2 linked regions of the Macaca mulatta genome follow. The protein of the gene in region 1 binds, or shares a complex with, the protein of each later gene. Links are inferred from orthologs where the notes say so. Each region holds a gene or a part of one and is shown in the gene's direction. Other genes may lie near its edges.

Region 1 (5,073 bases):
AAAGAGAGAGAGAGAGAAGAGAGAAATGATGTCCTTCCCATTCCTTCCATTTTAACCACTCTATCGCATCTCATTCCATTTAGGAGAAACTCAGCCTTAATCTGGATCATAAGTCTCGGATCTTTCAGAACCTCAACGGGGCTTTAGGTGAGGAGGAAGACAGCCGCAGGTGGGCAGTGCACAGCCTCTGCAGCTTGGGGTCTTGAGCTGGGAGAGGCTTCTGGAGGACCTGGGCTGATCTGAGTCCACCTCTATGTGGTTTTATTGGGCATCTGAGTGGCTGGTTGTGTGAGTTGCACTGTGCTGATGGTACTAGAAGCAAGGGAGGCAAAAATGCGTCTGGCATCTGTTGCACACATGCTGCACCTGGGCACCAGGCCAGGGGCTTTTTTTTTTTTTTTTAGATGGAGTTTCGCTTTGTTGCCTGGGCGGGAGTGCAATAGTCCAATCTCAGCTCACCGCAATCTCCGCCTCCTGGGTTCAAGTGATTCTCCTGCCTCAGCCTCCCGAGTAGCTGGCATGCGCCACCACGCCTAGCTAATTTTGTATTTTTAGTAGAGACAGGGTTTTACCATGTTGGCCAGGCTGGTCTCGAACTCCCAGCCTCAGGTGATCCGCCTGCTTCAGCCTCCCAAAGTGCAGGGATTACAGGCGTGAGCCACTGTGCCCGGCCTACTCTGTGATTTCGTTTAACAAAGGGAAGGTCCCTGGTTATCCTTCTCATACAGATGAGGAAAGCAGCTTGTGGAGGGGTTGGTGACTTGCCTCAGGGGATGGGGAGAACGGAGAGAGAGAGGCCAGGCACGGTGCCTCATGCCTATAATCCCAGCATTTTGGGAAGCCAAGGCAGGAGGATCACTTGAGGTCAGGAGTTCGAGACCAGCCTAGCCAACATAGCAGAAACCCGTCTCTACTAAAAAAAAGTACAAAAATGAGCCGGGCATGGTGGCGAGCACCTGTAATCCCAGCTACTCAGAAGGCTGAGGTAGGAGAATCACTGGAACCCAGGAGGCGGAAGTTGCAGTGAGCCAAGATTGCGCCATTGTACTCCTGCCTGGGCAACAGAGACTCCCTCAAAAAAAAAAAAAAAAAAAAAAAAGGAGGCCAGGTGCAGTGGCTCATGTCTGTAATCCCAGCACTTTGGAAGGCCGAGGCGGGCAGATCATGATGTCAGAAGTTTGAGACCAGCCTGGCCAACATAGTGAAACCCCGTCTCTACTAAAAATACAAAAATTAGGCCGGGTGTGGTGGCTCATGCCTGTAATCCTAGCACTTTGGCAGGATTGATCACCTGAGGTCAGGGCAGGTGGATCACCTGAGGTCAGGAGTTCGAGGCCAGCCTGGTTGACATGGCGAAATCCCGTCTCTACTAAAAACACAAAAATTAGCCAGGTGTAGTGGTATGTGCCTGTAATCCCAGCTACCTGGGAGGCTGAGGAAGGAGAATCGCATGAACCCGGGAGGTGGAGGTTGCAATGAGCCAAGATCGCGCCACTGCACTCCAGCCTGCGTGATAGGAGTGAGACTCCATCTGAGAATAAAAAACAAAAAATACAAATACAAAAATTAGCCAAGTATGGTGGTATGTGCCTATAGTCTCAGCTAGCTGGGATGCTGAGGCAAGAGAATCATTTGAACCCAGGAGGCAGAGGCTGCAGTGAGCCAAGACCGCACCATTGCACTCTAACCTGGGCGACAGAGTGAGACTCCATCTCAAAAAAAAAAAAAAAAAAAAAAAGGAGAGAGGGAGAATATGAGGAGGGGTAGGGATGCTGAGGCTCCTAGTGGACCCCAGTTCAGCTCATCCTCCCCTTCCACCCAGCTGTGACATGATCACGCAGGTAGTAGGCAATGGAGCTTTCTGGGCCAGCAGCCTGGTCAGAACCCAAAGGTTCCTGCCCCACAATGAGGGACACTCTAGGATGGCCCTGGTGTCCCTTTATTCCCTGGAGAATATGGGACCCCGTATTTAGAAGAACATGTTGCTTGGCAGCTCCCAGAGAAAGGGAGTCTGAAGCCTGACCTTTTTCTTCCCCAGATGAAGTGGTTTTAAAGTTTGATCGGAACCGTGTGCGTATCCGGAATGTGGCCTATGACACGCTCCCCGTTGTGGTCCATGGAAACGGTCCCACTAAGGTGCCACCAGTGGTCTCAACCGCCGCCCTGCCCTGCCCCAACCCCCGGGCACCTCCAACCTTTCTGAGAAGCCAGCCCTTCCCAGCCCCCATACCAGAGGTGCCTGATCCCCACCTCCACCCCTGGAGGCCTCAGCCACTCAGCCTCAGTCTCTCCCCGACAGCTGCAGCTCAACTACCTGGGAAACTACGTCCCCAATGGCTGGACTCCCGAGGGAGGCTGTGGCTTCTGCAACCGGGACCGGAGGACACTCCCGGGGGGGCAGGTGAGGTGGGGGTGCCAGGGAGGGGCACGAGAGGGCAGCATGCTGAGCAGGAGGTGCAAGGACAGTGGGCTGGGTGGTGGTGGGGCCACCGCTCGCGGGTCCCTGCACCTGTCAGGGTGGAGGGTGGGTGGGGGCAACGGAGAAGTCCAGGCTTCCCTCTGAGCCCATGTGTGGTGCATCTTCCAGCCTCCCCCCCGGGTGTTTCTGGCCGTGTTTGTGGAACAGCCTACTCCGTTTCTGCCCCGCTTCCTGCAGCGGCTGCTGCTCCTGGACTATCCCCCTGACAGGGTCACCCTTTTTCTGCACAACAACGTGAGACCGCCCCCCCCCGCCCCGATCTTGGAGCCTCTCCCGAGGCACCCTTCCCCTGCCCTGATCAGAACTCCCGTGCCCCTACCCCCATCTCCTTCCCGCAGCACCCCCCATACCTCAGGTGCCGCCTCCCTGCCCTCTGAGCCCATTCGTCTATGTCATCCCCTCCCAGGAGGTCTTCCATGAGCCCCACATCGCTGACTCCTGGCCACAGCTCCAGGACCACTTCGCAGTCGTGAAGCTGGTAGGGCCGGAGGAGGCTCTGAGCCCAGGAGAGGCCAGGGACATGGCCATGTGAGCGGGTGCTTGCGGGGAGGAGGGGGTGGGATGAGGGTGCAGGGTGGGGGTTGCTGCCACCTGATGCCTGGCCCTCACCTCACCTGTCACCCGTCCAGCCCCTCCTGAGCCTCCCCATTCGCGTCCTTGCAGCCCCCACGCTGTCACCCCCGCCCTTACCAGCTCACCCAGACAGCAGAGAGCCTAGGGAAGGAAGGATAGACACTGCCTCCCTCCTTTTCTCATGGGGGCGTGGGCCAGTCCCCCCATCCACACTGCCTCCTCACCCGCCGCTGTCTCAGCTCGCCTCTTACCTCCAGGGACATGTGTCGGCAGGACCCCGAGTGTGAGTTCTACTTCAGCCTGGACGCTGACGCCGTCCTCACCAACCTACAGACCCTGCGCATCCTCATTGAGGAGAACAGGTGGCTTACCCCCTCTCCCCGCAGCCGGAGGGCACCCCAACAGGCCCTGGGAACCCCACTTCTGCCTTGGGTACGGGGCTCCCCAGGCCTGCTCCCGTCTGCCCAGCCCTCACCCCTGCCTGTCTGTAGGAAGGTGATCGCCCCCATGCTGTCCCGCCACGGTAAGCTGTGGTCCAACTTCTGGGGCGCCCTGAGCCCCGATGAGTACTACGCCCGCTCCGAGGACTACGTGGAGCTGGTGCAGCGAAAGCGAGTGTGAGTCCCGCCAGCCTGCAGCCCCCTGCCTCCTCCGACCCAGGGCCCGGGTAGACCCAAGGCCCCCACTCTCAGGGGTTTGGAGTGGTCACCAGTCAGAGGTGCCACGAGGCCGGGTACAGTGGCTCACACCTTTGATGCCACCATTTTGGGAGGCCGAGGTAGGAGGACTGCTTGAGCCTGGGAGTTTAACATCAGCCTAAGCAACATAGCAAGATCATGTCTCTACAAAAAACTTAAAATATTAGCTGGGCACGGTGGTGCGTGCCTGTAGTTCCAGCTACTACGTAGGCTGAGGTGGGAGGATCACTTGAATTTGGGAGGTTGAGGCTGCAGTGAGCCATGTTTGCACCACTGCACTCCAGCCTAGAAACAGAGGGAGACCCTGTCTCAAGAAAATAAAAAACAAGGGCCGGCCATGGTGGCTCAATGCCTGTAATCCTAGCACTTTGGGAGGCCAAGGCAGGCGGATCACTTGAGGTCAGGAGTTCAAGACCAGCCTGGCCAACATGGTGAAACCCCATCTCTACAAAAAATACAAAAATTAGCTGGGCATGGTGGTGGGCACCTGCAATCCCAGCTATTTGGGAGGCTAAGGTGGGAGAATTGCTTGAATCTGGGAGGCAGAGGTTGCAGTGAGCCAAGATCACACCACGGCACTGCAGCCTGGGTGACAGAGCAAGACTCCGTCTCAAAAGCCAAAAACAAGAAACAAAAAAGTGCCACAGCTTGGGGTAGGGACTGACTGCGTTTTGGGAGATGGGGCGGTTGTGACAAGCAGTGCTTGACAAGGGACATGCAGGAGCCTTATGTTCAGGGACTGCGATACTCTAAGGGAAGAAGGACTTCCCGGGATGAGCTGGGCAGAATTTGGGGGGCCGCCCTCCCAGCTGACCACGGTTGTCGGTGCCTCCAGGGGCGTGTGGAACGTGCCATACATCTCGCAGGCCTATGTGATCCGGGGGGATACGCTGCGGACGGAGCTGCCCCAGAGGGACGTGTTCTCAGGCAGTGACACGGACCCGGACATGGCCTTCTGTAAGAGCTTTCGAGACAAGGTGAGCGCGGGTGCGTGGTGTGGCCTGGGGGCAGCATCCCGGACTGTGGGCATGGCCTGCATCATGGACACCCCCACCCCACTACAGGGCATCTTCCTCCATCTGAGCAATCAGCATGAATTTGGCCGGCTCCTGGCCACTTCCCGATACGACACGGAGCACCTGCACCCCGACCTCTGGCAGATCTTCGACAACCCCGTCGTGAGTAGGACCCCCCGCGCCCAGAGCACACAGGTTCCCCGCCCTGTGCTAAGGAAGACGCCAAACGTGATGGCTGCTGCCAGCGCAGGATGCTGAGCGGGAGGGGGCGGTCCCCTGAGGGCTGGGAGTGAGGGGGCCACAGATC
Region 2 (5,073 bases), on another chromosome or scaffold:
TGACATGGGAGGGGCTCCTAGAGAGCAGCACTGATGTGGGCGGAGCCAGGTCGACTTTGTGGGCCGAGCTAGTCGGACTGGGAGCCATGGAGCCGGTGGGGAAAGCCTGTTGGAGAGAGGTAGGAGGCCCCTCACCCCAGCGACTCCTTAACGTCTGTGCCCCACAGTGAAGCACCCGCCAGCAGAGCCCTCCCGCTTCATCTCGGCTCCCACCAAGACACCGGACAAGATGGGCTTTGACGAGGTGGGCTGGGCGTTCCCTGGAGGCTGGTTGCGGGTGGAGGGCCCTCGCTTGCAGGGGCTGATCTGGCTCGGGGCTCTCCGGGCTGCAGGTCTTCATGATCAACCTGAGGCGGCGGCAGGACCGGCGGGAGCGCATGCTGCGGGCGCTGCAGGCACAGGAGATCGAGTGCCGGCTGGTAGAGGCCGTGGACGGCAAGTGAGTCCGAGGCCTGGGGGTGGGGGGGCGGGTCCGCACGTGGATGTGGGTGTAGACCTCGCTGGTAGACGGCAAGTGATTCAGATGGGGGCGGGCGTGGTGTCCAAACAGGTGTAGACCACATCAGTGGGCGTCATGGAGGGCAAGTGAAAGGGACCCCGGGGAAGGGGCAGATCCTCACAGTTGTAGACCATGGAAGGCAAGTGAGTCCTGACCCAGGGGAATGGGTCGGTTTGCATGCTGCCAGTGTAGACCGCGCTGGTGGGGACTATGGAGGGGTAAGTCAGTCAGACTCCAGGAGAGGAGGAGAGCAGGTTTGCCCATGAGTGTATACCATGTGCAGGTGAGTGAGGCCCCATGTGTCCAGGAGGGGTGCCAGTGCTACAAGAGGGGGACCAGCTGCTCAGCGCCGCAGGGGATGATGGAATGGCGGGGGATGGCAGAATGGCAGGCAAGGTGAGCCTTCTTCATGACCCTCTCCTCCTCTCCAGAGCCATGAACACCAGCCAGGTGGAGGCGCTGGGGATCCAGATGCTGCCCGGCTACCGGGACCCCTACCACGGCCGGCCCCTCACCAAGGGTGAGCTGGGCTGCTTCCTGAGCCACTACAACATCTGGAAGGAGGTGTGTCCTGAGCGATGGGCGGGGCCAGAGTTATGACTCGAGATCTCCTCTGAGATTTGGAGCGGGAAGGGGTTGAAGGAGTTCCCCAAAGCCCTGGCCAGGCATCCAGCCTCAGCCATGGGACCCATGGCGTCTCTTTAGTGAATGATGCGCCACACCAGCTGTATCAACCCCAGGTGTGTCTGCCATCCTTCCATTGCGCAGATGTGGAAACTGAGGCTCGGGGGAGGGGTGAGCCCTTTTGAGCAGCAGGTGGTGTCTGGGGCCTGGGACCTGTAAACAAATCCTCGTTACTCCCAGCCTGGTCTCTATGCTTGACGTTTAGTAATAGAAGTCATGGCCACAGAGCCACTTTAAACCAGCACCTGCCCAGTGCCAGGGGCACCCCACCAGCCCAGGCATCCTCAGCCACCCTCAGAGGGAGAGGCTGTGATTGGAGGAGGGTGTCTGATTGGGCTTCGAACTTGGGGCTATCAGGGCCAGGCATGGTGGCACACACCTGTGGTCCTGACTACTCGGAAGGCTAAAGTGGGAGGGTGACATGAGCCTAGGAGTTAAGGCTGCATTCAGCCAAGATTGTGCCACTGCACTCTAGCCTGGACAACAGAGCAAAACTGTGTCTCAGAAAAAAAGAGAAAAATGGCTGGGTGTGGTGGCTCATGCCTGTAATCTCAGCACTTTGGGAGGCCAAGGCAGGTGGATCACCTGAGGTCAGGAGTTCAAGACCAGCCTGGCCAACATGGTGAAACCTCGACTCTACTAAAAATACTAAAATTAGCTGAGTGTGGTGGTGGGCTCCTGTAATCCCACTACTTGGGAGGCTGAGGCAGGAGAATCACTTGAACCCAGGAGGTGGAGGTTGCAGTGAGCTGACATCATGCCATTGCACTCCAGCCTGGGCGACAAGAGTGACACTGTGTCTCAAAAAAAGAAAAATAAATAAAAGCCGCGCGTAGTGGCACATGCTTGTAATCCCAGCTACTCAGGAGGCTAAGGCAGGAGAATTACTTGAACCCAGGAGGCGGAGGTTGCAGTCAAGATTGAGCAACTGCACTACAGCCTGGGCGACCGAGCGAGACTCCGTCTCAAAAAAGAGAAAAAAAAAAGAAAGAAAAAAACATGATCATCAAACATGAAGCCAAATGGGGGCGTGCGGCTGCAAGGTGGGAGGTGCATGAGGTGTGGACATTTGAGGGGCTAGGAGGCCTTCCTCTTCGGAGATCCATCATGGGTGACAGAGGGCATGGATGTCCAGATGTCCCTGGAGCTAGGAGAGGCGGGGAGATGCACTGGCTTCTCTCCTGGTCTTTCAGAGCTTCTGAAAGCAGAGCTCTGTGCTTTAGGGTCAGGCCTGGCCTTGGCCTCCCTGTGACCTGGCTGGGCTTCCTCTCTCAGGTGGTGGACCGGGGGCTGCAGAAATCGCTTGTGTTTGAGGATGACCTGCGTTTTGAGATCTTCTTCAAGAGACGCCTGATGAACCTTATGCGCGATGTAGAGCGGGAGGGCCTGGACTGGGACCTCATGTGAGTGGGGATCTGAGGGTGGGGTGAAGCTGGGGCCTGGGGCAAGGCCAGGACTTAGAGGTGGGGTTGCGGACAGGGTGAAGCTGGGGCCTGGGGACGGGTCATGGCTTAGAGGCGGGGCTTGAGGGTGGGGTGGAGCTGGACCAGGGCTTAGAGGTGGGGCTGCGAGGCGGAGTGGAGCTGGATCCTAGGGGCGTGGCCAGAGCGCTGCAGCTAAGCCTAGAGCCGTATGTCTGGGTGTGGTCAGGGTGGTAGGCGTAGGGCGTGGCTAACTCCTGGAAACGTAGCAGGATGATTCACGTGATCCCTGGGCCTGAGAGCACTGTCAGGGCTGTAGACTATATAGGGAAGGACCTTAGAAGGATCACCCAGAACTCAAGGTACCTGGCCAGCAGCCTGCAGGCTTGGTCAGGGCTTAGAGACTTGACTGAGGTCTATGGAAGTGAATGTGGCTAAAATTTGACCGGGCAGCCTGCGGGCGAGGCTGAAGAGCATGGGGTGTGGTCATGGAGGGCGTGGTCAGAGCTGGAGGTGTGGCCGAAGAGTGGGGGCGTGGCCAGGGCGCCTGGGTCTTAGACAAGCCCTGGTATGGGAGTACCGCCCCCATGTTTCCTGCACTGGAGCCTTTCTTTTCTCCTATAGGTGGGCTGGTTTGTCCTCTTCTTTCCTCCATCTTTCCCTTCCAAGTGCAGTGCCCTAATCCACATTCTGGGAACACTGCCCCGTGTGAATAGTAACTGCACCCCTCCATTCCTGACTGCTCCCCACATCAGGGCACCTCGCCCACCTCCACCCCCACTGCCCTCTGAACTCAGAGCAGCTTCAGCCTCAGAGAACCTCTGCGTGATCCTGCTCTCCCCAGCTCCAAAGCCTCCACGGCTCCCTCACGCCCTTTGGAAAAACTCTAATTCCCATGACCCACATGACCCCCAGACCCCTGGGCTCCTGCATTCTCTGCATCCAGTCACAGCGCTCCGCAAACATGCTGAGCCTGCTCCCATCCCAGGGCCTGGCGGGGTAACTAGATCCCTAGTTTTCTGGGCAAGCTCCCTCTGGAGGGCGGGAGGAGAGTGACAGGCCCGATCCTGCACCCCAGCTACGTGGGCCGGAAGCGGATGCAGGTGGAGCACCCCGAGAAGGCTGTGCCCCGCGTGAGGAACCTGGTGGAGGCCGACTACTCCTACTGGACCTTGGCCTACGTGATCTCCCTGCAAGGCGCCCGCAAGCTGCTGGCTGCTGAGCCGCTCTCCAAGATGCTGCCTGTGGACGAGTTCCTGCCCGTCATGTTCGACAAGCACCCAGTGTGAGAGGGGCAGGCGGCTGCTGGGCTGGCGTCTCACCGTGGGCCTGTCCTGGGAGGGTGGGGGCGTGAAACTCACGGACTCTGAGGACTTGTCTCTTCTTCTGCCTACTTCTCCCTCCGTTCGCCCCCTCCCAGATCTGTCTCCATTTGTATCCCCTGCACACTTACGTCTTAATCTATCCCGGCTGACTTCTTCACCTCCAGTTTTTCCTCCAGCTGTCCCCTCCCCTGAAGCCATTGCTGCCCCTCACTCCCCTCCTCCTCCCCCCAGGTCTGAGTACAAGGCCCACTTCTCCCTCCGCAACCTGCATGCCTTCTCCGTGGAGCCGCTGCTCATCTACCCCACACACTACACCGGAGACGATGGCTATGTGAGTGACACTGAGACCTCAGTCGTATGGAACAATGAGCACGTCAAGACCGACTGGGACCGCGCCAAGTCCCAGAAGATGCGGGAGCAGCAGGCACTGAGCCGTGAGGCCAAGAACTCAGACGTGCTCCAGTCCCCACTAGACAGTGCTGCCCGGGATGAACTCTGAGGGGTGGCAGCCAGAAAGCCAAAGCAGCCTTCGCTGGCCCAGGTTCCAGGTGCTTACTGAGGACATCAGGGCCACCTCTAGGACCCCTTGGCAGGCCGCAGAGGGCTCTCGTGTGGGGTGGTGTCCAGCCAGCTCTCGCTAAGCAATCACGTGCACACAGGCAGCATTAATGGAGTGCCTACTGCATGCCAGCAACAGGGCTTGGCCCTGGGGAACTGGGAAGAACCAAGCCCTCTTCATCTGTTCATGTGCCCAACACTTATTAAGTACCTGCTGTATGCCAGGTTCCCATGTTATGGCAGTGAATGAGGCATAATTATTCCCTCTATCAGCGATTGATTCAGTCATCAAGCAGTTACTGATCAGAGTAAGAATCAGGCACTACTGATACACATTCATTTTTAAAATTCATTCAAGGATTTATTGAGTGCCTACTGTGTATTGGGTGCCATTCTAGGCTCTGGGATTTTTTTTTTTTTTTTTTTTTTAAAAGAGCAGAGTCTCACTCTGTCACCCAGGCTGTAGTGCGGTGGTATGATATTGGCTCACTGCAGCCTATGCCTCCCAGGTTCCAGCAATTCTTGTTTCTCAGCCTCCCAAGTAGCTGGGACTACAGGTGTGCGCCATCACGTCTGGCTAATTTTT

The links. Proteins that work in one complex are often made in the same cells at the same time.
Region 2: the proteins of PLOD3 (region 1) and COLGALT1 are in contact, whole or in part, in a cryo-EM structure (PDB 8ZGE), measured with the Homo sapiens proteins. The link is inferred for Macaca mulatta from reciprocal best matches to the Homo sapiens genes PLOD3 and COLGALT1. Residues at the interface, in NP_001075.1 of Homo sapiens: Leu226, Val229, Val230, Leu231, Lys232, Phe233, Asp234, Arg235, Arg241, Gln261, Tyr264, Leu265, Pro275, Gly430, Ala431, Leu432, Arg440, Glu442, Glu446, Arg452; in NP_078932.2 of Homo sapiens: Ala36, Tyr37, Phe38, Pro39, Glu40, Glu41, Arg42, Trp43.

The regions. Positions count from the first base shown.
Region 1 is NC_133408.1:48,476,447-48,481,519, reverse strand, and holds part of PLOD3 (multifunctional procollagen lysine hydroxylase and glycosyltransferase LH3), read left to right. Parts: intron 1-83; coding exon 84-147; intron 148-2,038; coding exon 2,039-2,136; intron 2,137-2,299; coding exon 2,300-2,401; intron 2,402-2,587; coding exon 2,588-2,713; intron 2,714-2,885; coding exon 2,886-3,007; intron 3,008-3,309; coding exon 3,310-3,414; intron 3,415-3,543; coding exon 3,544-3,669; intron 3,670-4,585; coding exon 4,586-4,727; intron 4,728-4,814; coding exon 4,815-4,928; exon of another isoform or gene 4,929-4,973; intron 4,974-5,070; exon of another isoform or gene 5,071-5,073. UniProt on the Homo sapiens protein: Multifunctional enzyme that catalyzes a series of essential post-translational modifications on Lys residues in procollagen. Plays a redundant role in catalyzing the formation of hydroxylysine residues in -Xaa-Lys-Gly- sequences in collagens.
Region 2 is NC_133424.1:18,075,386-18,080,458, forward strand, and holds part of COLGALT1 (procollagen galactosyltransferase 1), read left to right. Parts: intron 1-167; coding exon 168-244; intron 245-332; coding exon 333-439; intron 440-930; coding exon 931-1,063; intron 1,064-2,458; coding exon 2,459-2,586; intron 2,587-3,682; coding exon 3,683-3,889; intron 3,890-4,160; coding exon 4,161-4,428; 3' UTR 4,429-5,073. UniProt on the Homo sapiens protein: Beta-galactosyltransferase that transfers beta-galactose to hydroxylysine residues of type I collagen. By acting on collagen glycosylation, facilitates the formation of collagen triple helix. Also involved in the biosynthesis of collagen type IV.